Lepisosteus oculatus: one gene and its partners. The protein of the gene in region 1 binds, or shares a complex with, the protein of each later gene. Links are inferred from orthologs where the notes say so. Each region holds a gene or a part of one and is shown on either strand. Other genes may lie near its edges. The genes, in order: yeats2, mbip, tada2a and kat14.

The links.
Region 2: yeats2 (region 1) and mbip share a complex: the UniProt entries of both Homo sapiens proteins name them as parts of the ADA2A-containing complex. The link is inferred for Lepisosteus oculatus from reciprocal best matches to the Homo sapiens genes YEATS2 and MBIP.
Region 3: yeats2 (region 1) and tada2a share a complex: the UniProt entries of both Homo sapiens proteins name them as parts of the ADA2A-containing complex. The link is inferred for Lepisosteus oculatus from reciprocal best matches to the Homo sapiens genes YEATS2 and TADA2A.
Region 4: yeats2 (region 1) and kat14 share a complex: the UniProt entries of both Homo sapiens proteins name them as parts of the ADA2A-containing complex. The link is inferred for Lepisosteus oculatus from reciprocal best matches to the Homo sapiens genes YEATS2 and KAT14.

The regions. Positions count from the first base shown.
Region 1 is NC_090708.1:11,813,835-11,821,079, reverse strand, and holds the start of yeats2 (YEATS domain-containing protein 2), read right to left. Parts: upstream 3,006-7,245; 5' UTR 2,935-3,005; intron 742-2,934; exon of another isoform or gene 528-741; 5' UTR 463-527; intron 271-462; exon of another isoform or gene 202-270; intron 1-201. UniProt on the Homo sapiens protein: Chromatin reader component of the ATAC complex, a complex with histone acetyltransferase activity on histones H3 and H4. YEATS2 specifically recognizes and binds histone H3 crotonylated at 'Lys-27' (H3K27cr).
Region 2 is NC_090703.1:22,283,864-22,291,736, reverse strand, and holds the start of mbip (MAP3K12-binding inhibitory protein 1), read right to left. Parts: upstream 3,014-7,873; 5' UTR 2,983-3,013; coding exon 2,842-2,982; intron 322-2,841; coding exon 202-321; intron 1-201. UniProt on the Homo sapiens protein: Inhibits the MAP3K12 activity to induce the activation of the JNK/SAPK pathway. Component of the ATAC complex, a complex with histone acetyltransferase activity on histones H3 and H4.
Region 3 is NC_090721.1:9,406,317-9,413,980, reverse strand, and holds the start of tada2a (transcriptional adapter 2-alpha), read right to left. Parts: upstream 3,002-7,664; 5' UTR 2,836-3,001; intron 2,709-2,835; 5' UTR 2,610-2,708; intron 930-2,609; exon of another isoform or gene 836-929; intron 1-835. UniProt on the Homo sapiens protein: Component of the ATAC complex, a complex with histone acetyltransferase activity on histones H3 and H4. Required for the function of some acidic activation domains, which activate transcription from a distant site. Binds double-stranded DNA.
Region 4 is NC_090712.1:559,311-566,248, forward strand, and holds the start of kat14 (cysteine-rich protein 2-binding protein), read left to right. Parts: upstream 1-3,935; coding exon 3,936-4,206; intron 4,207-5,107; coding exon 5,108-5,229; intron 5,230-5,451; coding exon 5,452-5,573; intron 5,574-5,675; coding exon 5,676-5,857; intron 5,858-6,311; coding exon 6,312-6,731; intron 6,732-6,938. Other genes in the region: mgme1 (mitochondrial genome maintenance exonuclease 1), read left to right, coding at 1-107, 574-706, 1,023-1,157; protein PET117 homolog, mitochondrial, read left to right, coding at 2,423-2,518, 3,143-3,286. UniProt on the Homo sapiens protein: Component of the ATAC complex, a complex with histone acetyltransferase activity on histones H3 and H4. May function as a scaffold for the ATAC complex to promote ATAC complex stability. Has also weak histone acetyltransferase activity toward histone H4.

The DNA of each region.
Region 1 (7,245 bases):
ATAAAAAGATTAATAATCAAATGCACTAAACTTCGAATCAGTTGTATTTTCGAATAATTACGTTATTTGCCTGAAATCACCGGGTAGTAAACTGTGCTGCGGACATCACTTTTAAAAAACGGTATGAATTGCAAATAACTACAAGATAAAACCATGTGTCAGGCACTAATAACGCGTAACGCTATCAAGCATGAAACTCACACAGCTTGGAGCAGATCCATATTAAAGCAAAAACACACTATATTCTTCCGTTCTGTGTTGCCTTAGTACTGCAGCTACTACCCGGAATGATCATTAATCGAGTCCGGTAAAAGCCTGCGGCCTGCACCGAAATAAAATTTTCAAGCTCGCCGCTCAATTTTATTTTGAGAGATCCTAACAAACGAGCAATAATCTGGTTATACTGCTATTATAAAATCGTGGATTTCGTGATTTATAAAACGGCTGCTGTCAATTCCTTACCCAGTTCCAAGCAGCCCGTCTTCCCAAACTTCCCCAATCTTATGCCCGGGATCAGCGCCGAGAAACTGCAGAAACAGACGGGGATACGCAACTTAGTTTTGGCCTGGAGGTGCAAAGAATGTAAAAGATGACTATTAGCGCGTTGATGGTGGTATAATTCCGAGAAATTAAGCGCCGAAAAGGGTAATATATCACCGGGAGATATGATTCAAAGACAATACTTTTTTTGGACATTAATGTGTGAGCGCCATGAACCTGCAGAGAACGCTAGGCCACGCAATACCGTCAAGTAACCGGTAGAGGACATTGCTCTGTACATCCTAGCAATGTTGTGCCAACGAACACAACAGGTAGTGATAAAGTCCAGTACAATAATTGAAGTTTTCTAACATTTATGGGACTTTATAGTATTAAGCGTTGTGTATGACAGGCAGAGGAATATAAAGTCACTTCGTTTCCTAAGATATTTTTATTAATGCGATGAAAATAACAATGATGTCTATTTTCATAACAAAAAAAATAAAATAAAATATACCCTGTTCTCTGGACCTGATAAGATCGCATTTTCATTAAAAGAGACATTATGAAAATGAAATGTACTTAGGCATTGTGATATTGCCAGTATTCTTGGCAGCAGAAGTCACTGGTTTTACTTAAATGAAGAACAAAAGAAAATGTTATTTCTTCCGTAAAGCAATGGAAGGATGTTTTGTGAAGGATGCCTGCAATGCTATCAGTTGTTGTTTGCTTAAGGTGTGCCCAAATGTTTCCACATCTTTGGACTTATTCATTTTGTAAGCAGACAAAGCTTCTGACTTCCAGTGAAAACTAAAAAGGATGTCCTGAATACAGGAGCTGATTTCACAGTTTCAGTGCCATTTATGCCAAGAACCCAGTGTTTAAGTTATGATCATTGATCAAAATATAGATGTTGCATTTTTAGTGAGGTCTTATTACCTTAGAAGAACACTGGGCCTAAGTACAAGGAACACGATAACAGTGCAGTGCTCAGATGCAGTTATTGCGGCCAATGCAATGCACAACAGCAGTAAACAAATACAAAAGTTTGCATTTCCCAGGGGTTTAATTTGTCCACATATTCTTGTCCACAGAGAATTTTACTTTTTACTTTTTCCCTGCAACACATTTTTAAGAAGTCACTTATTGCATGAATTTACAAAGTGCAACAAGTTCTCACACCATCTTATGGGAAAACTGAAGCCCATTTTAAAGTGAAGGATCAAACATTTACGTCTCTTATTTCACTAATTTGCTTTTACTGTGTAAATCATTTACTAACATAATTTTACTAACTATCCTGCTAGAATAATGGAAAATTACTAACTGCAACTTAAGTGTGAGCCGGCTACATACCTGGAACATGAAGGGCAGAGCCAGCATCGGACAACCTGAACAGAACTGAGAGTGCCCGATATCTGCTTAACCCATGATAAACAAAATCTAGAAGTACATACTGTCTGCTTAAACAATAATTAAAGGAACCCAAGAATATTCTTACAGTTTATCACGTACAGTACCAAGGCTAGCAGCCTTGGCTTTACAATATATATGGCATGGAATTGTACTGGAACTGTTCTGGGTGGGTTTTCTGTTTGTGATTTTGTATAAAAAGCGTCCTTTTGTATCTGAATTGAGTCATTGGCTTTGGCTCCCGTATGCACACGTAATAAAGGTAATAGTAGTTCAGGTGGGTAGCTGCGTCAGCATGCATAGGCTGCAAAGGAACAAGTAATATGTTTATTCCATGCTGAAAAAAAGAAGAAAGAGAACACAACGTTTCGGCCGTGGAGCCTTCTTCAGGTGTGACACACTTGTACTACCGTATAAGCTTGTGAACTAGAAGTAGCTCAAAAATGGCAAATTTTAGAATGAGGAAAATCATATTAAGCTTCACTGAAGGATTGCAAATATCTTGATTACTAATGCAAATTACCAGTGCTATTCTCTGGTTTTATGATATGTGTGAAATATTATCATGCAAGAGATATAGTGTTAAGATATTTGCTTGAAAGCCTAACAATAAGAAACGAAACCCTTTCTCTTGAATTCTTGCCATGAAATGACATGAGGAATTTTTTTTTGCCGCGCTTCATTAATAACCACTCCTGCAGCCTCAGAAACCCTGAGGTTGATTTGTCACAGTTTTAACAAATTAATTAAATGTGGAGAAATCAATTGTAATGTCTTTAAGCATTTTTCTCCATGTAAACCATAACATTTATATATTTAGTAAGAAAATCTGCAAAAACAGCACAACTGCAACTAAAATAAGAACAACAATAAAAGCAATAATTATAGTTGTTGTTGTTGTTGTCATGATTGCTTTGATGTGCTATAGGGTGATGCAAAGCTAGGAAGAGATTAGCAGTATTTATGTAATATGGACTGTAACACTGAGTGGAAAATAAACATCATGGAGTGTACGCCCTGTTTCATATGAATATTACTCACCTGGTCCCCGCCATGAGGACCTGTTCAGGGCACTCCTTTGTTCTGCACACCTTTCCTTCTAGAAACTACAGCACCCTGTGGGATCAAAATACTGCTGACGTATTATTTCACCCTCTGCTTTTCACCTGGATTATGTTGATACAGATATACAGTACACAGATACGCACACTTTGGTCAGTCCCAGGAAGCTGTGGATGAAATCTGCTCTGTTACAAAAATGAAATGGAGTAGTCTAATGTTAGCTATTTGTCATGTTAAAGAAAAGCATACAGTACTGATCATTGTAGACCAACAAGTATAAAATACCATTGAATTATTTTGTTTTCAAAATTAGATTAATATTTTTAACTTGTTCGATAACTAAAAAAAAAGGTACTTGCTAAGTAAAATATCATTATTGTGTTAAAGGAACAGTCTAGTACAGTATGTGGTTCTTTAGATGCCATTTCTACACAACCTGATATCGCGGCACTGATATCTATCCACCTTTACAAAATGGTGCAGATCAAGACAAGAGTATTCCTAGCGTCTATTCAAATTTTCTAAAAACCTGACCATATCTTGGATTAAAGCAACAATATCATGCTTTTGAATCGCTTATTTGGAAATTTTTGTGAAAAGAAAAACTGGATCATTTGAGCCCTTTGTCTGACAAACATATTGACGTCTTAGGTTTCTTTATTATGACACTAAAGACTCTTTCTACACACAAAAGAACAAAGGTCTGCCCAGTTTTGCTGAGGTTCTATGAATGTTGTGTAAACAAACTGGTACAATGAAGGAGCAGTTCTTTAATATTCTGTTTTGAATCTGTTTGTGAGGGCAGGTGTTGCAAATGTTTGACATCTGTCTTCTGGTATTAAATCCTTTGTGTAGACACCATACATTAACCCCTTACTGGAGTGGCACAATATTTCTTTTCTCACATTCTAGTCTTCATGTGTTGTTTTCTGAATCTTGCTATTTACTGTGCCAAACAAAAGTGAAAAGGCATTTCCAGTCTGACTACTAGGGAACTAACAAGGGAAACCAGATTATTTTGCACGAAGCCTGTTAGTGTACTTCTTCACCTCCATTCTTTCTGCAGAACCACATGAAGCCTCTCTGAGGCCCACTTTTCCTTGATTAGAAATGAGCCTGTAAAACAAAATTCTAAACCGAAACTATGATTTGAATCAAATGCAAAAACTGCAGAACCAGAGAGGCAAGCAGAAAGACAAGAAAAACAGGTGTAATTAACAACACCTTTATAAAAAGAATGACTTTTGAAAGCTGATTTACAAATAGTGAGATCCAATCATGTAGTATAAATATATGATTTTGTTTTTGTCTACAGTAGTGTTAACATTTAAGAAAATGCTGGTGTGCATGTTGTAACATATGTTTTGTGTATAGCTTTATTACCATGTTCTAATTACAGTATATGTCTTGAATACAGGACTGAGTAATCAGAACTAAAGTACTGAGCAGGTACAGAATACAATGCAGTAAAGTAAGGCCATGAAGATAAGGTACCAAAACTGTTGAAAATCTACCCCTGCCCAACTTTGGGTTTTGCGACTCGAATATTTGCTCATGCTCAGAAGAACAGTTTTACTGTTTTTGAAGAAAGCACAGTGAATTCAAACAATACACACACCTGCCAGTTGGTGTTCAGCATTCTTCTAATGATTCACCACATCCAAAGTGTTTAGATTAGGTAAACTGGAAACTGAGGACAGTACTGTGGTCCTGGTCCTGTTCCTAGATTCCTCTACATTGATTTGGGGTACCCAGAAAAAAAGGACTATGTTTTGAAAGTTGTTTTAATCTCACCTGACCTGACAGATATGCATGTTGCATTGCTTCAAAGTGCACTTATGATGCCACTGATGCATACATTTCTAGGTCTGACTTTATGAATTAAGATGCTGCAGCAAGGAGCTGTGTGTTAAAATGTCTTGGTTTTAGATTTAAACAATCTTTAAATTCTTCATAAATGGAGTTGTTTACATGTGGTGTCAACATTTTCACAAGCCTGCACTGCTTAAGTTTAAACTTTTAGACTACTCACAATGTTAAACATAAAACATTGTTAAATGTCTAAAACTCTAAATGTTATGTTATACATCATCAACTTCAGATCATTTCATGTAATGCCTAAACAACAGTAATCCATTTAAATGCTACTAGCTAGTTATGAGAGCTTAATAAAAATTTAGAACTTTAGTTTGCAATAGCTATGCTGGCTAAGACTCAACAGAGATTTAATGAAAGGCTAGTCAACACGTGAGGTAGAATATACTGCGGTTTTTGTAGTGCCAACTTCAACAAACTACAGTTAGAAAACAAAGTATATCTTATTTAATACTTCAACATATTACATTTTACACTAGTAGAACCAATTGAACATATTGCTTAAGTATATTCCAGATTTTACATGTATGTACATTTATTATAAAAGAATAACATTTCATTTTCAAATTCAAATATTAAAATATATTTATCTAACTTGAAACCTAATGTAAAGCACATTTGAAAAACAATGTTAAGTCTATCACTGCATGGGTTTTGAAATACCAAGTATCAGTTCTGAGAAGCAAAACACATACAGTACCACAGCTATTTTGGTATATTTGTATAGCCTTTAGCCTGCTATGACATTTGCAGAATTAACCATCAAGTTAAAGAGGTATTTAACTGTTACATTACCAGTTGAGGAAAACAAACATGTCGAAGTGACAGACCTGGCTTTTGTCATCCTTAATGGCTGAGTAGTAGTCTGTAGATTTGACGGATTAGGGTTCATAGATCATCCCATGTGCTCAAATTCAAGTTGGTAGCTTGCACATGATTCACTGAAACTAAGCAGCTGTCTGATGTTCAAGACTACTGTTTCTTACGCAAGATCAACTGGTAAAACAGTTTATACAAAAATATTTTTCTGTAGTGCGCTGTAGGAAAAAGAGTTTCAGCAATACAATGTATTATCCATAAGTAGTCGGTGTTTTGAATTTAAGAGTATATAGGAGTTTGGACTGCTTTTTCGAGGCCTAAAACAAAAAAAGTGCTGTAGGGGACATAAGTTCAAACAGTGGCAGGATGTGGCTATGGATTCCTTAGCCATTTGTACATCTTTCCAAAGTCAGCAAAAGGCCCAGTCATTTCACAGTTGAACCAATATGATGAATTCTTTAGGTTTCTGAAGTTGCATATAACAGGATTACAGAGGAAAAATACAAAATAAGAAAAGAGGACGAGAGTATTTATTGTAAATTCCTCTGCAAACTGTAGGCTTAAGTGTAAAACAAATGATTTCTGAATTTGTTTATGATGGATAAATAACATTGGGAAATTTGACATTTTCAACCCCTTTAATGTACATCAACACTAACAAGTCTTTACATTTTTTTTCTTTAGGCAAACACTGACATTTGTTACATAGCGGCTTGATGTGACTATTAAATAGGAATAAAGTTTTTGTTGATTTATAGGATTTGCTACATTTCAATAGTTATTTTATTTCAGACTCACTGGGCAAGAAAAGGTTTTGCAAATGTTTAGAAGCACGAAAGCAGCCACCACCCCACCAACATTTTCAGGCAGTGATGAGGCCCCTAGCTCTTCAAAGTAAAATTACAACAGAAAAGTTTCAATAAAAATGGCAATCATTTAGGAGAAAGTTACTTTATTAAGGCATCAGTGATACATCTAGTACAATCATACGCAAGTGGCTTAACACACATACAAAATGTTTAAATAAAATGAAAGGTGAGAGAAAAGAAATTATCACGCAATACTATAATGCAACCATTACACAACATGTCAATTACTGGCTTATCAATAAAAAGGTTAACTAGTTTTAACATGCAGCCTTTACATAACAACAATCTCTCCAAATAAAATAATGATTTGTGGAATTGACCATTGTATGGCATACACCATCAACTAAGTTTGCTCCTGAAATTCTTGTGTCAGTGTACCAGTTATGTTATGCTATAAACAGTAAATGTGAGCAGACTAATCAGTACACTTTTCACTTTATTTGTTCTATGGAATTCTTTGATTTACCTTTTACTTGCTAAGTTTAATTTTTCCCTCTCGATATAGGTGTTCTACTTAAACTGGCTTGAATGTTTTCCTTAACCAAATGCTGTGTATTCTCATACTCTAATATTAAAAAACAAACAAACAAACAAAATATTAAATTGATATATAATTTCAAGGCACTTGTGTTGTAATTAAAGGCAAAGTAAGATAACTAGTCTAGTAGAAAATTCAGTAACAAATCAACTTAGCACACCAGAAAAGGCTATTATATCACCTGTCCAT
Region 2 (7,873 bases), on another chromosome or scaffold:
GAATTTTTTTCCAAATACTTTTGAAATCCTGAAACACCCACATGTTTCAAAATGATGTAGTAAACAAAAAAAGACAAAATATAGTTTTAATCTACATTTGTAGAACAATTTACACACTGATGCCCCATTTATGAGGAGAAAAGAGAGTTTACATTATAATTTAACTAGCAACAAAAAATCTTAAATGTGTTGATTTCTTACCTGTAATTTGGAAATGTGACGCTGAATGGAATTGTACAGCTGTGCCGGCTGAGTAGCTGAAGAGAACTGCAGCTTGCTTTGGTCTGCGACAATTTGTAATACATCAGCTCCTAAATTAACCTTGAAAAAGACAGGGAAGTGCATGTGCATCAGTCAATATGCCAAATTGTTTTAGTACTACTCAATGCCTTAGTCCTGCTGGAGTTCAGCCTTCTATTTTCCAATTAGCTTTTTTCCCCAAAAAATACAGAACTGGTGCACTTAGGTAATATATCCTATCATAACAAATATGCTTCCCACAGGTATTATGTGAAACCCATGAAGAAAGATGGGTTTATATCATCACCATGTCTGCCTCATCACCACAACACAAGACAGGATTTTGTTTTGGAAGCTGAAGATGTCTGTTAACTGTTGAAACACCGTTGCTTGTTATGAAGACTTTTAACCAAGACATGGTTTAACCATCCTTCCTTCTGAATCACTTTATCCAGTACTTGTAAGCAGTTGTACCAGAGCCTATCCCAATAAGCAACTGGCGCAAGGCAGGATAAACCCTAGTCGGGATGCTAGTCTATCGCTGGGCACACACAGACAGACTGACACTAGAGATAAGATCACTGTATTAGCCATATACAATTTCTTGCATTAGGAATTCGTCTTTTCACATACCCCAGCTTGCTCTCCATGAGATGCACAGACAGGGAGAGAAGCTTGGGGTCAGAGCGCAGGGTCAGCCATTGTACAGCGCCCCTGGAGCAGCTGGGGTTAAGAGCCTTGCTCAGGGGCCCAACGGAGTAGGATTCCTCTGCTGGCCGCGGGATTTGAACCAGCAACCTTCCAGCCACACACGCAGATCCTTAGCCACAAACCCACCCCTCCGCCAGGGGGCAATTTTCCCCAGAAGCCAATTAAGCTAATATCATGCCTCTGGACACTGGGAGGAAATCGGAGCACTCAGAAGATACCCACGCAAACCAGGAGAACACAGAAACCAGAATTCCAGAAAGGTCTGGAATTAAACCCAGGGCCCCAGTGCAGCAAAGCAGCAAGCTAGCTATCGGGCCACTATGCTGCTCCATTGTTTAACCTATTTACTCTTTAATTAAAACCCAGATGACAAAGCCAGTCAGCAGTGAAGCACCCTTTAAAACACATTCAAATTGGCTTGCCATATTACATCAAAGAATAACGAAGGGAAAAAAAATCTAAATTGTAGGGAGGCAGTTTCCAGAAGTTTGTTGCCTTTTCACAAAATAAACCCTAGCTCGGTTATTTAATATAATTCATCAATCCATTATCGGAGAGCCACTTATTCGTAGCAAGGGGCCCGGCAGCACAGAGCCTATCCTGGAAGCATAGGGTGCAAGACGGAACATTTCACAGGGCATACACAAGCATGCAGGGCCAGCGAAGATACATAAATAGCCTTCCAGTCTCTGGAAGGTGGGAGGAAACCAGGACACCTGGAGAAACCCCACACAGACATTCAAACTCCAAACAGAAGGTGCCCCAGTCCAGAACTTAGCCCAAGAGCCAAGACAGCCTTGTCTGGCCTCTGTTGTCCAGCTGTGCCACACTATTCCTTAATCGATTTACCCTCCCTGTTGCCACAAAAGAAGAATTAACTGCATGTGCTTCAATTTTCTAACCGCTTAATCCAATAAAGGGTCATGTGGGAGCCGGAGCAACAGGCACAAGACACCCTGGACAGGATACCGATCCATCACAGGACACATACAGACACGAAACACACTCACACCAGGCCCACTTTTTCCAAAAGCCAGTTTTTACCAGTATGTTTCTGGACTGTGGGAGGAAACTAGAGTACCTGGACGAAAGGTACACCAAAAGAATAGACTCCACTTGAATAGTATCATAGGAACGGAACCGAGGCAGCAAAGCTTAGAAGTACACCACCGTGCCATCCCTGAACTGAATACGTGCCATATAATTGCAGAACAAACTAGTTCATTCACATTTTCAAAGTACAGTACCCTTTCATTGATTCATTTTCATTAAAAAATAGTTAAGCTCAAATAGGGAGAGAATAGTACCATATAAAATTCGCATAACGAGGCGCTTCGTACTTTGCAGCAAGAGCTTCACATGAGTTCTAACGTTATTGCAAAATATTTTAAAGTCATATTGGATTTTCTAAAAACGGAATAGCAACTAACCTATGATCACGGACAATATCTTTTTTTAAAATATTGAAGCAGTTGTCCAGTCTTAGTGTGAGCAATTGATTAATGACAGCTGTAGTTTAAACAACGGAGACTTACACGTTATGGAGGCTTTTACTGCGGGGCTGCAACTGTTATACACTCGTACGTAGTTCGTTTTACAATATGTACTCTACAGATTATATGTGTACACTCAAAAAATGTTAACACATGTTTAAAATGAGTAAACAGCAAACTAAGTTAAATATAACACAGTTACAGTAACTGCAAACCTTAATTGTTCTTACTGACAAGATTCCTTCTTATGCAACATTTAAGATTACAGATACCTGTACCGAAGCACAAAACACCTCTTAAAACCCACCTTTTATTTTTAACAGAAAGCTAGCTACAAGTCCCAACAATAATTAATAAGTGCAGTACATTTAACTTGTACGTGTTCTTCTACACTAACCTCTGCGCTAAACTGGGTCAAGGCAGTGAAGATGTCACAAAGACATTCTGTAACTGTGCCTGTAGGAGATGTTCTTGTCTCGTTCTTCTTTTGGTCGCCTCCTTCACAACTGTCTGCACTGGTCTCCACCGAATCAGCCATGACACCCTTGGCTCAGGAGTTGAACGTCGTGCCTGATGATTGGTCGATTAAGTGAAGCGAAGTCGCGCTTGAGTGACATCAATCCAGAGTCATCTGCTATTGGTGGAAAGACAGGGAGGGAAGGTTTTGGAGGTGAATGCAAAAATAAGTATCAACATTTATAACATTTCACATACATACAATGAAGTGGTCTGGGAGGTACCCTGTGTTTGAGCATTTTAAAATGGAAGAGGTATTTGCTGACTATTTCGAAATGCAAAAATATGAAAGCGGTGCGAACATTATTCTTATTTAATTTGTTTAATCTTTTTTCATAAGTTGAATTGATGTAGTAGTATGTACCCCTGACGATATTTTTGTTTGGAATTGTTATATGTACTCTTGTTTGTATTGTAATGTTTGTTCTTTTGTTAAGCATAAATAAAAATAAAAAAACATAACATTTACAATTGACTTATAAAACAAATGCAAATTTTCATATATTAACTTTATATCCAACTTGCCCTGTAACCAATAATAATTTGAAGCATATGTTGGATTTCTATTCCTATTTGGATTTTCAGATTAGAAAATAATCTGTATATTTTAAAGAGTGCTAAAGTACTAATAAGTGAAGTGAAGCGATTTACGTTATTTATATTTGTCTCAGGACTTTAGTGGTCAGTCGTTTTAGCATTTACACAAAAATGTCCGGTTCTTTTTTAACTATTGTAATTCCGACTGTTTTCATCAGATTAATAATGCTTTTATTTTATACCAAGATTTCGATTCTCGATAATGGAATGTCCTAACTTAAGTGTTCTTAACTCCAGTCGGCAATCTGACTCATTTTATGTTTTAAAGAACTGTACACCTTGTAGGACTGCTGGATCGATCCAATAAAGTGTTAAAGGAGCAACCCTTTAAATCCCCTGAGCCTTAAGCAGATGTTAATAATAATAATAATAATAAAAAAATCCTACTGGATTTCAAACCATGTAGTCTGAAAGTTAGGATGCCTTCATCTAGAGAACAATCTGTTTTTGCCCAAAATGCGTAGATTCTTTACTTCTTCTCTGAATGCAAACTATTGAAAATATCTAAAAGTTACTTTTGGCATTATGGCCCAATCACTATCTTTTTCTTCATACCCTGTTTAACTGCATGAGGTTGTAGTCTGTAATCTTTAAAGAATAGAGTGACTGTAATTTTACCACCATAAAAAAAATCAGTTGGCAAAAATGTCATTGGATGTACACATGAAAATAGGGGAAAGGAATAGGTCCACCTATTCAAAATGATACTAAGCTAAAAAAATTCAATATATTATTTTTGTTGAAATATACTGTTATTGAGTGAAACAGCTCACATCCGATCAGATATGAGCCATTTGATTGTGCAGTCCAGAGGTTTTTGGAATTCTTCAGTGGTTCTGTAAGAAAGGTCATATCAGAATGAACAGGCTGGAAGAATAACCAACAATGCAGGCTCCAGTTAGAAACATGAAGGAGCCTCTCTCAGACGTTCGGATAAAACTAGAAGGTTGTACAGCAACATGGTGAGAGGTGTCACATAAGAACATAAAGTTTTACAAGGAGGATTCTGGTAGCACTCAACCACCCAATGTTTTTTTGTGTGGGAAAAAAAGTTATTTTCTTTTCCAAAGGGAATTGTATGGATGGCAATGAAAATACCATTAGGGGAGAGAATGGGGGAGAAAAGCTAGAAAAAAAGGAGCTATAATAGTCATTATTCTATTTTGACCATATTTATTAATTCCATGCATTCTTTAAGGCAAATAGTTCCATAATTGTTACATGTGGGTACATTTCTTATGATTATTTAATCATAAGAAAACAGATAAATAAATATGTTTCTCCTGCTTATACAAGGGAGAGAATGACTTTCTTTTATGAGGGTATAATTTGAAGGGCATATCCACATATTAATGTTGTGTTCTATTAAAAGGAAAATATGATTAAATTCACAATGTGTGTAAGTGAGTGATACCCCTTTTTCACAGTGTAGCACATAAGTGCAGAAGGGAATCCCAGTTTTTGTGCAGCTGTATATGGGGTTATAATACTTCAGTAAAGGAGGGAGAGCCTTTATTGTATCTATACAAGAAGAAAAACAATTAGCTTTAATTCCATTAAATAGCATACCTAATGTTGTGTGACCTGATATTATAACAGGCTGTTATAACAATATTCTATTTGGCTGAAGAGACAGACTTGCCAGAAAAAAAACAACATTTTTTTATTTAAAATGAAACATTAAAACCATAGTTTCTAAAACAAATTGATTTTAAAGATGAATTAATTTGACTGCTATGCGTTTTTGTAAAACAAATGTTTCCCAAGGTTTCAGTGTAAACGTACTACACATTTTCCTCTTCAATGGAAAATATCTTCCCTTGTGCCTGAAAAGACACAACAAAAGGGTTTTGGCAAGCAAAGGACAGTGCTTCCTCCAGAACACACCATTACGGCACCAGTTCACGGCTAACAATGAAGAAATTAGGGGAAATGCACCACACTCGGTTATGTTCCACTTAATTATTGGTGTGAATTTCCACATCTGGCTAAAACTCTGATGTGATGTTAGAACATGGCTCAGGCTGGTAATATTCATGATGGGAACATTTGTTTGCACAACCAGCCTGGTCTAACGAGAAAGATACCCTAGTATTCTCCAATGAATATATAACAATGTTGCATTTCAAACAATTTGAAGTTATTTAAAGCACACTCGTTTTCTTTACTTCAATATTTGAACACATACATTTTTCAAATACCCGCTGGGGGAGTTATATTTTTAAAATGTTATGTTATTGAAGTGGCGTTTTGCAACAGTCATAGATCAGATGTCTGCTTTCATGTTTTAGAAACAAAGAAAAAGGTTAGGATTGTTTTTTCCTTCAACACCCCCCCCCCACACCCTCCCAGCCCTAATGTAAAGAAAAAAAGCTAAAATCCACAGACTTCCCAGTAATGTCAAAGGAAACAGAGGGGCTGGAAAGAAGAAGAAGGAAGCAGTGAGTTAAGAAGTGCAGAAAACTACAGGAGCCCTGGGAAAATGTGATACAGTGTCAGTTGCTGAATACATTAAGAAGGCATACTTTTAAAAGGGGGCTTTAATGTTCTGCTGTCGGTACAGTCGAGCTTTGGTGTTCCGCGTCTAATGGTGTCATGCATTGTTTTTTTTATCATTTTGACTTATTGTTCTTGGGCTTTTGTGGAAACAGCTAATTAAAAAAGAGACACTGCTGAGGGCAAAGGGAGGAAAAGGCTTTCTGTTCCTCAGGTCCTTATCTGTGGAAGCCTGCATACAAAGAGAAACCTGGGACTTGGGGGTTCCATTTAATGGTTTTCAGGTTAATAGTAGCACAAGAAAGCTGCTGGCAAGGTTTATTAATGAAAGGCCTGTCAAGGTAGAGGAGTGAGAGAGCCAACTGAAGCACATTCTCTAGGAATATTACAGAATAAAGGAGAGACTTGAATCTGTCCTTCAAACAGCTTGTAGAAATAGAGAAGAATGGAATAAATTAAAAAATACAGTGTTTTTTTTATGTGGGGGCACAGATGTTAGGTACTGAATTGTTGTACCAACCTCTTTAGCATGCTAGAAGATTATCACCAGACTAAGGCAATGTAGTAAAATTCTCCTCCAGCGCACCTCAGGATGCTGTTTTGGGCTGTAAAAAATGTCCGTTGAGTCATTTTACCAAAATCCGTTTTTTTTTTCCAAGAAGAATGAATGTAAGAAAAGAGAACAAAAATGAAGTAGTCATTACTGCTGTTTCCATGGTAATTAACTGTCAGTGAGTTTCTATGGCCAACAATGTCAGAAAAAGAGAAAAAGGAATAGATTCCTAATGACCATGGATGTATGCTCTTTGTTGTCCACAACCGAAACATTTTAGATGAAAACTGTGATACAAATTGGAGAAGCTGGAGAGTCAGCTCGTTCACTGAACTGCGACAGCACTACATCCAAAATGCAAATGATTTTGAACACTAAAAATGGGAAAGATTATATTGTCTTAGTAATTTACATGTGGTTATTGACTTAAAAGCCAAGCCGAAAAAGTAAACAGAAAATAATGATGCCATGCTGCTAACAACTGGACAGAAAAAAAGACAATTCCTTTCATGTTAACTTAGCTGATTTCTGATGTTTAATACTATTTCATCCTAAGGAGAGAAGACAGTCCTTATATAAGTGTCTATTATTATTCCTTTATTTTTTTGGCAAAATATTCCTTAAATGTTAAGATCTGGAAGTAGAAATATTTCCTTACTTGTCATAAAAGGGTTCCTGTTGTAAAAGGGGAATTTCAGACCTGCAGGTGTTAAATCTAGTCCAGTTTATTACTTGATTGAATCCTTACCTGAACTTTTTTTTATGTTTATGTGATTGGAACCTGTGAATGTTTTTGTTTTCATTGCAAAAGCTAGAGACCTTCAGTTCCTTATGAAACTGAATAAAATATTTGTTTAGATTTTTTAGATAACGAAACAGTAAAGCAGTCAATATCTAAAGGCATATTTAAAAGCCCGTTGACAATGTGTTTAGGCACATTGAAAACAATGAAAGATTCAAGTTAATCTAATTATTAGTCAATTAAGGGCTCAATTATCAAACTGTGAGCTCAGCTGGAAGGAAAGCCTGCAGGTGTGTGGGTCTCTAAGACCAGGATTGGGAACCCCTGCTGCAGGACATGTAAAATATTTATTATGCAGTTTTAAACTCCAACCAGGAAGCCAGTGTTAATACACTCGTCAAATGCTTCCAGCTGGTGATAAAATCAAGTTTTGTAAACATTACTGGCACACAAATCACATTGTTTTGAGCAGTGTTGTATTTCCATATTGAGTCTAGTTTCCTTTTTCTTGAATCAGGACGAACA
Region 3 (7,664 bases), on another chromosome or scaffold:
TGCAACCTTTTCTAGCCAAGACCCATGCAAGAGCCACACAACTGCAGGACCCCTAGACTGTCAGTCATGGTTTTAAGGTAGCATTCTGCCTCTACCTAAATTAGCTGCAATGTAAAGCACAAGCACAGTACATGTGTGTGTGCCAGGCACACTGCCAGTACCACTGTATGCACTTCTGATCAGCCCTCTAGCTGAAGCACTGTGTCTAATTCCTCAGGATACCTACTATTGTCCACCAAGCCGAATCTCAAAGTGCACTCCCTGGTGGATTGAGTGACAAGAGAACTTGCTGAACATCCACCCATGCAAGATATTTTCACAGATTAACAGACCCCACATTCTGCAAATATATTGTCCTGCTTTACTGGAAAACGTTAAAGCATCATAGCATGTGAGGCACCTGTGTGTACTTAATTAGATCTATTATTATGAGCCGTTAAAAAATATATATTTTAAATTAAAAAACAAAAGGTCAGTTGTTCTAATTTGAAATCCAGTTATTAAATCTGTGATTATTATACAACATAACTTTTATACCTAGATTTAATCTTATAAATTCAATCATATTTTTATCACCAACGCCTATGCCCCAGCAATGCATTTTTCGGCATCCACTGCTGCTTCCTGTACTATTGAAAACTCCCGGTCTCCGAACTACCCGATCGGGTACTCGGAGTTGGCTGGTGAAATTCCTCCTTGGAACTTCAGTTAACACCCAGACCCCACAATCCGTCAGCAGCAATCCCATCTCTCCCAGTGAGCTGCGAGAAGAAAGCCTGCCTGGTTTAATCGAAACTCAAGTCAAAAGACTTAACTGACCCCTGTCTTTAATCACCTGCACTCTTCCTGCAGGCCCCCATGGATCCGAAACCCTGTGTGTTACTTTGGAGAACTCCCAGGACGTCAGCCAGTCCAAGGGAACTCGGGCACTAAAACAAGGGGAAAAGGATAAGAGCAAATCTGCAAACATGCATGCTCTGAAATGTGTAGCTCGAGTTAAACCTGACTGCTGCCCCTTGCCGAGAGCTGCTTTCTGACAAGCCTTCCACTGCCACTGTGCAATTTATACTTTCTACTGTTAGGCACATCACAGCCTGGCTTCAAGGGTTCATATATAATTGAGACAGTCTTTTGCGGCTTTGATGGTGGCGTCTTTTATTCACATGGAGATGATGGCTCGCGCCAGCGTTTTCAGATCTAATTTTGTCTCTTCGTTTCAAAGAAAGAACCCCCTGCCATTTAATTATTAAATGCTCCTGGCTGATGACAAAAGAATCGAGGTGTTCTTTCAATCCGCCGAGCTAATCTTCAAAGACCAGACTGTACGGCACCTATTAGGAGAGGTGTGAGCTGTGCGCCTCTGTACGCGGTCCTTCAAGGGACAGAGGGCTCAGAAAAGCCACGCTCAACGCCCAGTGCCTTCCTTGAACGTTTTATGATGCACTGGAATAATAACATTATGCACATTAAAAACGGCAAATTTGGCTTCTAATGCTTTTAGCAAATCACCTTTTTTTGGGGAAGAAATCAATATTCCGCCCAGGAGGAGGAACTCCCATACAGAATGGCTTCAACCAGCAGCATTTTCCTTTTCTGACTCGTTTAGACCCGATTCGTTCCTAGGGGTTCCAAACCTGGCTGAGAGCCCTCAGCGGCTGGTGGCGTCTCCCCTGGGGGACTGGAGCCCACCCCCCAGACCCAGTGTTCACTGCTGTCTCTTCACCGGCAGAGGAATCCTACTCCGTTGGGCCCCTGAGCAAGGCCCTTAACCCCAACTGCTCCAGGGGTGCCTTACAATGGCAGACCCTGCGCTCTGACCCCCAGCTTCTCTCCCTGTCTGTGTGTCTGTGTCTCCTTGGAGAAAAGCTGGGGTATGCGAAAAGACGAATTCCTAATGCAAGAAATTGTATAGGGCTAATAAAGAAACATTACTATTATTAACCTACACCCCAGTGGCCTTGTTTGGTTGCAAAACCCATTTTTGGTTTCTGCTCTTTAAAGGGAGAACAGAACGGCGTCTTTCTCCTTGACGTCCACCAGAAACCGTCCTGCAAGGTACAGAATCTCTGGCTCATTACTGGACAGGGCTCCAGCAGTCCTGCGCTTCACAGTCCCAGTGCAGAGTGAGGATAAGACCGATGGTAGATTTATTTCAATATTCATGTTCATAATTGAGCAGGCCAAGACCAAAGCTGGATTCATCGGCGAATGAGATCACAGTGCTCAGGGGATTTGGGGATGTATGTGAAGACCCTTAAAACGGTCATTTCCTGTTCCACTGCAGTAACGTTGCCCTGGGGCAGTCGGAGCTGCACTTCCCGGCCCCGGGTGGAATATCCAATAAAAGAGTAAGGCAAGTCTACTCGTTTTGTTTTCTCCCGCTCCCTGGAGAATTCCACAGACACGGAATTTTCCACTCCTTGCACCCCCCCCGCAAAACTGTTATTTGATGCCAGTAAAGCGCAGGGCTTTAACGCCGCGGGTTGCACGAGGAACGGACGGGCGACACGTCACACTCAACGTCACACTCGGTCGCGAGCCGCTCGCGCGCGCAAGGAGCGCTGTAACGGTCGGTTTCTCGGCCGAAGAAACGTTTTTCCTGAATTTACCTGAACGACGCGAAGCCGATCCCAAGATGGGCGTCCTTTCCTCTCTTCCGGCGCTCTTCATCGCCAAAAGAGCCGAAGTATTATATCCCCCAAGTCAGACTGCAAAATGAAATTTTATTTTATATTTCATTAGCGGAAAACAACTCAACTCAACAAAACAACTCAATTAATATTCCAGATTCTCGGCCCTAAATTGGGAAACACCTCAGCTTAACCTTTTCCTTACCTCTCCAACAACCATACATGCTTCTTTAATAGGTCATTAGGGAAGTATGTTCTTTGAAAAAACAGAATCGTCAATTTTGTTACACAGGACCACACGCTTTTTTCAGGGCTCGGCTGGTACCGCAGAAACCCCGCGAGCACCGGGGGCGGGGGAGGGAAGCCGGAAGCGCAGCGAGATTCCCCGCCCCTTTTCCTGCCCTCTCGCCTTCTCATACGTCACAGGCACCGCCTCCTAGCCCCGCCCAGTAGCGCAGACTCAGCAGCGATTGGACAATAGTGTCGATTGTGTAGCCCGGATCATTCTCTGGAGCTCTTTAGTAAAAGGGCATTTAGAGCCGAAAACAGGAGGCACGTCCTTGCGCAAAGGGTGGTAGGGGTGTGGAACAAACTCGCCGGCCATGCTGATGAAGCCGATAGACTGGCTTCCTTCAAGAAATGGCTTGGTGAGATCTTTGGACCAATTAGCTACTAACTGCCAAGCCATTCTGCACCGAATGGCCTCCTCTCATGTGTAAACTTTCTCATGTTCTTAGCATCCTTTCTTTCTGAACCTCTGCTTCTCAAATGCAGCACTTACCCATTATGCGCTCTCTCGTTTCATCAAAGCTTCCCAAATGAAACTGCAAAAACATACTACAGTATGTTTGTGGAGTCTGCCTACCTTAAAAAACCCTAATCGATCTGTTTAGGTTTAAACCAGATAATCCTCAGACCCTCATCTTTTAAAAAAGCACAAAAAAACCTCCCTTCATTAGACCGTTATTCTTGAAGTCTGCACATCCTGTTTGCTGTGCTGTAGTCAAGCCAGGTGTCCTGGGAAGAAGGAAGAGAGATCAACAGCCGCCCAGGAAATCCATCTCAAAGTGGCGAAGGGTCACTTCAGGCTGTGCCCCAGGAAGGAAAAGGCTGTTTGTTCCAGGTGTCAAGGGAGCACTCCATCCATCTGTGTGTCGAAACCGATCTGCTGTTCCCCCTGTAATTATAAGATAGAGTTACTGGATACCCCCCTGATTTCAGTGCCCGGATGAACTGTGGGCTGGTTTTAATTGCTCTCACTGGGGCACTGAGAAGCCCCACAAGCGTCAGGGATTTCCTAGGCATTCTGGGAGGCAAATTGGCAGCTCTAGTTCAGTATCAGTCTCAACTCTCTCGCTTGTTTCTCTTATAGAATCGGCAGTCCAGCCAGTTTTCTATCTCTAAGACCTCAGTTTGGAAGTGACTTCTGTCACCAGGGGCAGCAACAGAAGACACAGTTGAATGAGGATTGTGCCTCTCTAGGAGGGGTGATTTTATCAAACGTGCATCGTGCAGTCATGCAGCCAGCAGCCATGTCACCCTGCAGCTCCCAGCTGGTGACCCTCTGAAGCCCCGCAGGTGTGAGCCTGGTCAGTACCTGGATGGGAGACCTGCTGGGAGAAACTAAGGCTGCTGCTGGAAGAGGTGTTAGAGAGGCCAGTAGGGGGCGCTCACCCTGCAGTCTGTGCGGGTCCTTTACTGATGTGGACACTATACTGTAAAAAGGTGCCGTAGAACTGGGGTCCCGACTCTCCATGGTCACTAAAAATCCCAGGGAGTTGGCAAGATTTCCCCCTGGCCTTTACCAATCATGGCCTCCTAATAATCCCCATCTCTGAACTGGCTTCATCACTCTGCTCTCCTCCCCACTGAGAGCTGGTGTGTGGGGAGAGTACTGGTGCATCGTCCAGGTGGGGCTGCACACTGGAGGTGGTGGAGGGGATCTCCATTGTCTGTAAAGGGCTTTGAGTGAAGTGCTTAGAATAGTGCTACAGTATATAAGGGTAAGGAACTACCATTATTAGTTTTAAAGCCTACATTCTGCATATCTTTGCATGCACGCGTGCCAGAAACAAAAACACAATCTGGATCTTCAAAAAAGCAAAGGACTGATCGGATCAACTCTGTTACATTTGGTTTGAACAGCACTGGAGAGAACAGGCTCTGCCGTTCCTGGGCGTCATGCTAGCAGCGCCCATCAGGCTTATCTCTGCGGACAGATGAGGGGCTGTTTGAGATGACATCCTAGTGAAAACAGGGAAAGGACAGCCCGAGCCGTTCACCTTGGCCAGTGCCGAGAGAGAGAGCCAGCCGATACACGAGTCACCCGGAGGGTCGTCTCTGTGCGCCATCCATCTTCATTCCCAGCGTCGCCGGGGAGCTCACAAAAACAGGTCGTGACCTTGGAGCTCAGGGCCTGTCATTCTGAGCCTCGCTCCGACATTCCAGACCCCCAGGAGTTATAGACAAAGAGGGCCATTAAGCCCTGATTGATTCGGAGGATGCTGTTAAAGGACATTAAGCTTGGAAATGAATTCATTCAAGCATGCTCTAAGTGAGGAGTTCGGCAGTGTTTCCCTTTCCTTTCTTTGGAGATTTTTCTAATCACTTGCAAAGAGAGACGTGCTTTATCCTGCATTCCTAGCTCCAGTCCTGGGCACAGGCAGGACAACTGGAGATGGGCAGGGAATGGGCAACAGGAAGGGCACAGTACTCCCATACCAAAAGAGAGACTGGTTTGAGGGGCGTTTCCGCAGCAAATTGCTTGGATGGACCTTTCCAATTCCCCGGGCAAACAGAAATAAATCCTCCGCACCACTTTGTCCCGAGGTCGTGCACAGTTTTGCACTTGCCCAGGAAAGGTTTGCACGTCTCTCTGCACGGCAGAAGCCCAAGAGGATGCAGGAGGCAAGAGTCACGCAGGTTGAACCCCGAATCCACAGGAGTACTGTATCTCGCCTCTCTTCCAGACCCCCCTGCCCTATGCCTTCTGGCCGGCAGTGTGCACCCCACGGCTCTCCCACCCCTTGTTCACCTGCGGTTCTGTGAACGTTCGGGAGGGAGGTTCCGTCTGACTCGGCTCTCCGTAATTAGCAATCACCCCTGACATCATTTCCTCTCCTAAACACTATAAATACTGGACGGGACCCCCTTCTCTCCCTCACGAAAGTCTTTCTGCATCTCACCTCCACCCCACCTCCCCCTCTGCAGCTGCCCCTGGGTCACCCCTCACTCTGCAGGGGGCTCCCAGCCTCCTCGTCCTCCGGCCAGGAGGTTGGCCCTCAGCCAAGTGGGTTAAGCCAAAATGTTGACTAAAACACTCCACAATCCATTCAGTACTCTTAATTCATCGGTGTTGTCAATCCTTGTGAAACAGCGCTAGGCCGTTGCTCTGAATACTTTATCGGAATCAGGACATACATTCTGTATACACTATATATGCAAAGTCCTCTGATCTTACAATGTCCTGCTGTGTATGCAACAAAAAGACGAGCACAGAAGGGAGCAGGCACAAACACAGCAGAAGCAGTATCGGAGGTTTTACATCACAGAGGCCAACGCAGAAGGATGCGATTGTTACCAGCTGTACAGACAGGGAGGGAACACCCAGGCTGCGTTAATTTTAATGCTGCACAAAAGAGCACCATACAGTAAATGCTATACACAAAGGATCTTGATTTTAAATTCTTTTTAAAAACAGATTGGGGAGGAACTCCAGAAAAATGAGCTCCCTCTTCTGCCTATCTTCCCTTCCAACTATCCTATCCTGTCGACATGAAGACACCTTATGACAGGTTCTAAGACAAAGGGTTTAGTATTAGTAACCCACGGTTACAAGCATCCAAATGACAAGCGCTTTGTTAGAGCTGTCTCTGTCAGGGTCAGGGGTCACCTGGGGCCACAACCCCAAAATAACCCCCCCAGCCACCCTCCTCACGGCTAGAAGGCTGATGCTGTATAGTTTTAACAAGAGTGTAGATGCTATACAGTACATCGTTGATGGGAACTACGCATGACTAATGTCACTTCCGCGCATTTAATTGAAACCATCTCGAATTGGTGTACTTTTAAAACGGGATCATCCGCTTGCAGTCGTATATATATCGGGCTGCTGTGCATGAAAATGCACCCAGGCCTCGGGCAGAGCGGAGGCTGCAAGTCTCCGTCAGCAGGAGGGGTGCTATGTGTGCTCGTTGGGGGTAGAAATTGATCTCCGTAACACGCGCTCAGAAAACAAACATGAAGAGAATCAACCGGGGCGCAGCGGTGGTGACAGAGAAGTCTCCTTTCTTGTTGTTTGTTTCAGAAAAGGAGCCATTTCTCCCTTGGGCGAACTCAGTGTCTGCCCACTCCCCCGGTGGGCGTCGGTCCAGCCTGGAAGGTCTCCCCCGCGGGGGTCCGAAGCTGTCGCGTCTCGGCGCGGCGAGAGGCTGGGGGTCTTTGCAGGAAATAAAGGAAACAACGTCCTTAACGTTCTCTCACAGCCCCTTTCCTGAAACGCGCTTCAAATTCAGACTTAACGCATGTGCTGGGACACAGGTGGTCTTCTTCTTGTCCCTTTTCCCTTCCATTAAACCATTACAATCCGCCCCCTTGTGCAAAGTACACAGGAGGATAATTAAATCCGGTGACGTCACCACGCGAGAAGATTTTAAAAAAACTTAGAGCGTGTTTGCGTGGGGGGAGTAATACCCCCTCATCACCTCAAACACGAGCCCATTCCACCCTTGAATATGTCCCACACATAACCTGTGTCAAAAGGTGGCCTCTGTTAGATGCCTTGACATTTCTAAGTAAATATCATACTGAAACCCCCCTTCATTCATTAGTGCAGTCGCAAAGGGGTGGTGCTGAGTTATGCAGGCCTGCTACAGTACCAGCTTCCTACTGCATGCCTGGGTAGGAAGTCCATATATGGACTGTGGGAGGAAAGGCATGCAGAAACGGAATGAACATGCAAACTCCACACAGATAGCATCCCAGCTCCAGAATGGAGCCCACAGCCCCAGCTTTGCAACCACTCCACCACTGTGC
Region 4 (6,938 bases), on another chromosome or scaffold:
GTGCAGCACGTGCTGGCGGACATCAGCGGGGTGCGCGCCATAGAGAGTGCCGTGACCCATCAGACTCTGCAGTACGTCGGCCTGGTGGACTGCGTCGCCCAGTACAGGTGAATGGCCTCTTAACAGTCAGTTTGCTCCTTGAATTCGGTCATGCGGCATCCCATGATGCATTGAACTCCTTACTCTGACATTGAGGATCGATCTCCAGGCTCTCTCCCTTCAAAACACAGGAGAAAGGCAGCCATTACTAGGCTCAAAGGTAATAAATACTGTGTTTAATTCGGCACCCCAGAATCTTCCTGAGAAAATTGAGAAATTGTAACACTGGAGGACCATCATGCTTTGTAAATGTCACCACACACAGGCATGTGAACTGAAAATCAACGTATCCTTCATTTTAGCTTAATATCATCCTTGTAGAATATTATCATCTTTAATATTTATTTAGGTGGAATTGTCATCTGTGGCGTTTACTTTGTGTTTTTAGATTTTTTTAGCGACAACATAGAAGCTCTGTCTATGAGTGTCTGATTCATGAGAGACACGGTGTGACCCATGATTCTTTCCTCACAGGGGGAAGCTGTGTGTGATTGACTGGAAGACCTCAGAGAAGCCCAAGCCACTTCTGCACAACACATTTGACAACCCCTTACAAGTTGCAGCCTATATAGGAGCCATAAACAATGATGACAACTACGGTTTTCAGGTTTGTGTGATTCAAACTGATGACTTCTTCTATATGTGCTTTTTTTTGTCATATAAACATTTTTAATCTCATGTACTTTGAGTAGTTACTGTTTCTTCATGTTTCAAGTTGTCACTGGTGATCTAGCTAGAGAAGTTTGAGTTCTGTGAATTGTGAGCCCTGTAATTCTCCTGTTATGAAACTCCAGTACACTGAAGTACAGAAAGGATTGCACATAGAAGTGCCTTTTATATAGAGACTGCAAAGATCTCGGTAATAAATATATTAAATTTAATCGAGATGGATGTTTCCCTGTTTCCCTTCTGCTTGCCTTCAGGTGGAAGACGGGCTGATTGTGGTGGCCTACAAGGATGGGTCCCCTGCCCACCCTCACTTCATGGACTCCGCTCTGTGCCTGGAGTACTGGACCAAGTGGCTCTTCCGGCTGGAGGAGTACCTGGAGAAGCAGTAGAGGGAGCGGGAGAGAAGAGCCCAGGAGTGCACAGCTCTTTACACGGCTTCCAGGCTGCTACCCTTCCGCACACTCGTCACGTGCGGCGGCGGCACGCTAACAGTGCGTTTGTCACATTCACCCGCTTTCCTTTCTGGTTGTTTTCAAATCAAAAAGTGTTTTCTTTTTCAGTTCTCGGTGGTGAACAGTCGTGGCCGAGGGTGTTGGGGCAGGTCTGAGCCAGAGCCTGGAACCAGGCTGCCTGTGCGCTTGTTGCACTGGGGTGAATACACGCGTACATGTGTGGACACAGCCATAGCCAAGGCAAGGAAAAACGGGAAAACAAAGAACCCATCATAGGCAGCACCCCTGGGTTTTATTCTTCAAATTGACCTCGGAGAGCAGGGTTAATTACCACGCCTGTGATTGAAGAAAACGCGTGTCTGTAATCGCCATCATCTTGATGCACTGTATGTTTGTTCTGTTCCTTCACGGCAAAGGATCTACTGTATTTACATGTAAGTCAGACTTCTAATAAATAAATAAAACTCTTAAATTGCCCCTCTGGGGATGAATAAAATATTTTGAATTGTGTTAATTACTAATTATTCTTTTCTATCTTCATGGGTAATAATTTCATAGGGACCTGCAGACCCTGCAGGACTGTGTTTCTGGCCTGGGAGATCAGAGCAGAGGACAGGAGGTCCTTGATTTAACGTACTGCTTCTCCTGGGTTCCCTTGTGATTTCAGGTGCTTAATATGAGTTTTTCTTGTCCTCTGTCAGAATTAAAAACGTGGTACAATCTTATCTACTCCTGTCTATTATTTTCATAAAATATATATTTTGTAATTTGTGACAGTAAATTAAGCAAGTCGATAAATGGGAACGTTTATACCCGATGAAAGTAATTGGAATTAATTCTTATTTATAATGAAAAAAATTGTCTACGAAGAGATCATAGGAGATCATATGTTAGTAAAAACTTTCATCACTGTTGTGCGCTCGTACTGTCGGCTTAAGGGGGAAAACGTGAAGCCACCTGCCAGGACCTGGGTACGTACAACGTTGTGCATCTATTCACTGCTTTCAGACTGTTCCTGACCACGCTGTGGTGAACCTCGAATTGTTCTATACTCAATTGATTTTGACTGCGCGGTTATTGCGTCATCGCCATGCGCCGGGACGGCTCTGCTGTGAAAACACATTGGTTTTACTCGAAGTAGTGCCCTTGACAGATAATGTGGTGTTGGAGCGTTTCGGATTTTTAAGTGCCTTCCTTTAGCTATGTCTACAACCTCCAAGGTGGTGTTAGGGATTTCTCTAGCTCTGACTCTGGGAACGGTGGCGGGAGTTCACATCAAACAAAGTCTGGATCGAGAGGTGAGAGCCCGGAGACGCCTCAGCTTTCCCAGGCCGGTTTGTTTATTTCGATAGTGTTTCAGCTTCTGCTGCTGTATTCCCGTGAGAACTCACATCGTCGCAGCATTTGTTTCCTTCTCTACACGGGCAAAGGCTTGTAAACGAATGCACCAATAAGTCTGGGTGGTGTGGGGAGGATAAAGGACTTTTAGCAATGCATAGAGTTTGGCGTAAGAGGTCCCCTGTGAGGTACTGACTGGATACAGGATATATGGGCGAGTTAATTGAAGGTCAACAGATTTAAAAACATTCTGGACACAGACCTGTAAAATACATTAACAACAGTGTGAATTGAAAAAACGTTGTTTTTTTCTATGAAAACACTCTGTTGCTATGCTGCTACCTCAGTAAGTTAGTTTTAGCTGATGAATGTCAGAATCTTGTGTATGTGTGCACGCATATAGCCGTGTATCTATACTTGTGTTTGACATGAATTAGTCAAAAGAATGAACTAGTCCTCCTGTGCTTTAAAGAGACGTTTAAGGGGTTAAGTCAATTGCAAATCTAACAGAGTTGTCTCAAGGAGTGTGAGAGCCACCTGTTGATGCTCTTGTTCTGATCGTGCTGCTCTTGCATCTCCGGCAGAGACTTCGGGAGGGTGTTGTCCGGGACCTGGAGCGGCAGGCCAGGAAAAGGGAGAACCTGCGGCAACTGGAAGAGCAGATCAGTCTGACCAGGGAGCTGGAGAAGGAGCGGGAGAGGAGAGCAGCAGGCGCTCAGGGCTCCTAGACTGGCAGGCCACCCTGAGAGAGGCTCAGACATCGCCAACAGCTTATGTGAGTCAGGCTGGTCCGCTGACTGTGGGTGTTCTGGCCTGTGTGGCCGATGCTGAATGACTCTGTCCTCCAAGCCAGGTGTGTGTACCTGAACGTGGTTGATGGGCTCTAGGCCAGAAGTGTCTTCAAGTTTTAGTTCCAGTCAAGGTCTCAGTTACTTACTTGAAATTGTTTGAAATTTTCAGCAGATAAACATAATTTCAAAATGTGGTGCTTAAGCAAGCGATCTGTTCAATCCCAGGCTCAATCATTTAACTGAGGGTTGAGCTGGAATACTTAGTAAGTTTCCTTGAGGGTGTGGGAGTCTGCTTTACATGGGACGTGTAAGAAAATTTCATGATGTGTACAGGCCATTCAGCTCATCAGAACTACAAAAGGCCTTGCTCCTTGAGAGACCTTGTTGCAACACTGGTCTGGATAAAATCCTATTATTACTGATTCTCTCTCTTCCTCTGTAGTATCAGCGCAGGACCTGCTTTGCCAGTTGCATCTTGTTTCCTGAATGTATCTGTTGGAGTGAAACTGTCCCCTGTCCCGCAGGGTTGTGGGGCTCTGCAGGCAGCCGGCCCAGAGCGCCCCTGTCAAGCGAGTACGTGCCAGCGATGGACGGGGGATCTGGCGAGATGAGGGGCCTGTCCAGCCAGCGGATGGACGACGAGGCCACGCGCACCTCGGCCTCGGAGGGGCTGGAGGAGGGGGAGGTGGAGGGGGAGACGCTGCTGATCGTGGAGTCAGAGGACCAGGCCTCTGTGGACCTCTCCCATGACCACAGCGGGGATTCCCTCAACAGCGACCTCGGCGACGAGCCCGACTCCAGCTGGACGGAGGAGATGTCCTTCTACTGTGATAAGTGTCACAAGTGGATCCCAGCCGGTGAGACGCACCTGCAGCTCACTGCCAGCTTCCGAATCTGTAATGGTGACTGTGGGCTTAAAGCTTTTTTCCTTTTTAAACTACAGTCTAATACTGGCTCTTGTAAAGAAGGGAAGGGTTATCTCTGCAGCCGGGAAGCTCTCCCCAGTGCACTCAATTCCCTCTTGGCCAAACTCCCTCTCTGACTCAGCCAGCCGGATGACGGACTCTGACAGATGTCAGCTACACCTCTGTGGCTCTCCTTGTCCTTTCTATTCCTCCCTGCTCTACTGCCACTCCATTGCTCTAGTCACTCTGTTGGCTCCTTATTAACACACACATCCCCCTCGAAGCCCTTGTTCTTGCACACTGATTACTCAGCGCCTCTGCTCTTGCTGGTCTTCAGTCCCTTATCTCTCAGCCTTCTCCACCCCATCTCTGCTCCTCCTCTTCATTCCCTCACGTCTAGAGTCTGTTCATTCTCCACCCTCACCCCTCAAAGTGGAGTGGACCTCCCCCAGAAATTAAAACTGCTCACTCGGTCCCTGACCACCTTTCGGCACCTGCTCAAGACTGGCCTGTGTAGACAGCTCCTGGGATCTGAGCTCTCATCTGCATCCTTCAGTAACCCTCATGTTGCAATAAAATTGCTAATTCATAGACTGGTAAAGGGGCTTGCTAAGTTAAGTTCCTCACAGTAAAGAAGGCATACAGACTTACAGGGTGTTGACATCACAGCTCCATATTCACACTGTCTGAACTCTGACTATTCTTGGGAGGGCGTTGACCTTAGAGTAATTCAATTCAATTTATTTTTATATAGCGCCTTTTACAACAAGGTTGCCCAAGGTTGCCCCAAGTAAAGTAAAATCCTATTTTTCTGTGCTGATTCTGAACATTAGCTTCCTTGTTCAACATCCAGGTCAGCTGCGAGGAGACCAGCCCAGCTACCTGAAAGGCGACAACTTCTTTAAGTTCACCTGCTGTGAGTGCTCAGAGGATGACAAGGAGCACTTTGAGAGGATGAGGCTCACCTGGCAGCAGGTATGAACCAGGGATATTCTCTCTGGGCCACCCCTGACTGCTCAAGGGTCTCCAGGCTCCAAATCATCTGATTGAGTCCAGTTTAAAGGTCTTATTTCAGCTCTCCAGAAAAATAATTACTCATGCTGACATTTACGATTTTGGGCCATATAATACTATGACGTTATTAACACTGTTGACACCTGTTGATGTTTGAAGTGGTCATGACTTCCTGTCCTCCAGGTGGTCATGCTGGCCATGTACAACCTCTCGCTGGAGGGCACCGGCCGACAGGGCTACTTCCGGTGGAAGGAGGACATCTGTGCCTTTATCGGGAGACACTGGACCTTCCTTCTGGGATCCAGGTAGGGCACTGGGGTAATTGCTAGCACTGGCAATTGGAAACAGAGAGAACGGACGACAGCGGTGTGTGTGGCTGATCTGCTCCCTCTGACTCTACCGTGCAGGAAGAAGACATCCACATGGTGGAGCACAGTGGCGGGGTGTTTGTCGGTGGGGAGCCCCATGTTCTTCCGTTCTGGAGCCCAGGAGTTTGGGGAGCCAGGCTGGTGGAAGCTGGTACACAACCGACCACCCACCCTGAGGCCCGAGGGGGACAAGACCTCCGTCTCCTTGCTGAAGACAAAAGGTGAAACGCTGCTCTCTCCTCTGGTTCTGAGCTGAGGCATGTGCCTGGAGCACAGGAGTAAAACAATCCAAAGGAATGCTGTTCCAGCATCTCATATTTCTGTCTGGATAGAGGTCATATGGCCTTGCTGATCAACTGTTCTTGGAAAATGGCTTCTCAAAGCTTAATGCCAGCAGTCAATCAAGGGAGACAAAGGACTTTTTCACCCTGACATGATGGGCTTCCCAAACATCAGCAAGGTTACAAACACCTGCAAGAGTCTTGGTCCAGCTTTTTCTTGCAGGCCTGCCTGGGGAAAGCTTCAGCAGTAAATCTGTTTTGCCTGTACTGCTGAACTTGTGCATGGAGAAGTTCTCATTCTAGTCAGTGCTCAGTTCCTGCTCCCCTTGTGTCTGTGGGGAGGGGGGAGGAGGCCGTTTTCCTCATCTGACTGTGGTGTGTTTTGCCCCCTCAGCCCCCTCCAAGCCCCCGCTGGACCCCATCATCACGGTGGAGGGCCTGAGGAAGCGCGGGGGGCGCAACCCGGTGGAGAGCGCCATGCAGCTGAAGGAGAAGCGTTCGCGCACCCAGGAGGCGAAGGACATCCGTCGGGCCCAGAAGGAGGCGGCCGGCTTCCTGGACCGCAGCGCCTCCTCCACGCCCGTCAAGTTCGGCAGCCGGGGTCGGCGGCCGGAACTGGTGCTGGAGAAGGGGGAGGTGATCGATTTCTCCTCCCTCAGCTCCTCGGACCGCACACCGCTCACCAGCCCCTCCCCGTCCCCCTCGCCTGACTTCTCCGCCCCCGGCACTCCGGCCTCCCACTCCGCCACCCCCAGCCTGCTGTCCGAGGCTGACCTCATCCCGGACGTCATGCCCCCCCAGGCGCTCTTCCACGGTGAGGCTGCCCTCTCTCATGTGCGGCTGGGCTGCAGCAGACCGGGCCCGAGAGCCTTTTCCATCTTCCTGACGATGGGTGTCTGTAAGGGCTTGAGTTTTCGCCATGTAAACACAGGGGGTTTGAAAGAGACCCTGGGGTCTGACCAGCAGCTGTATCACAGATGCAGTGGAAATGTCAAGGCTGAAGTCAAGACAAATCATGTCC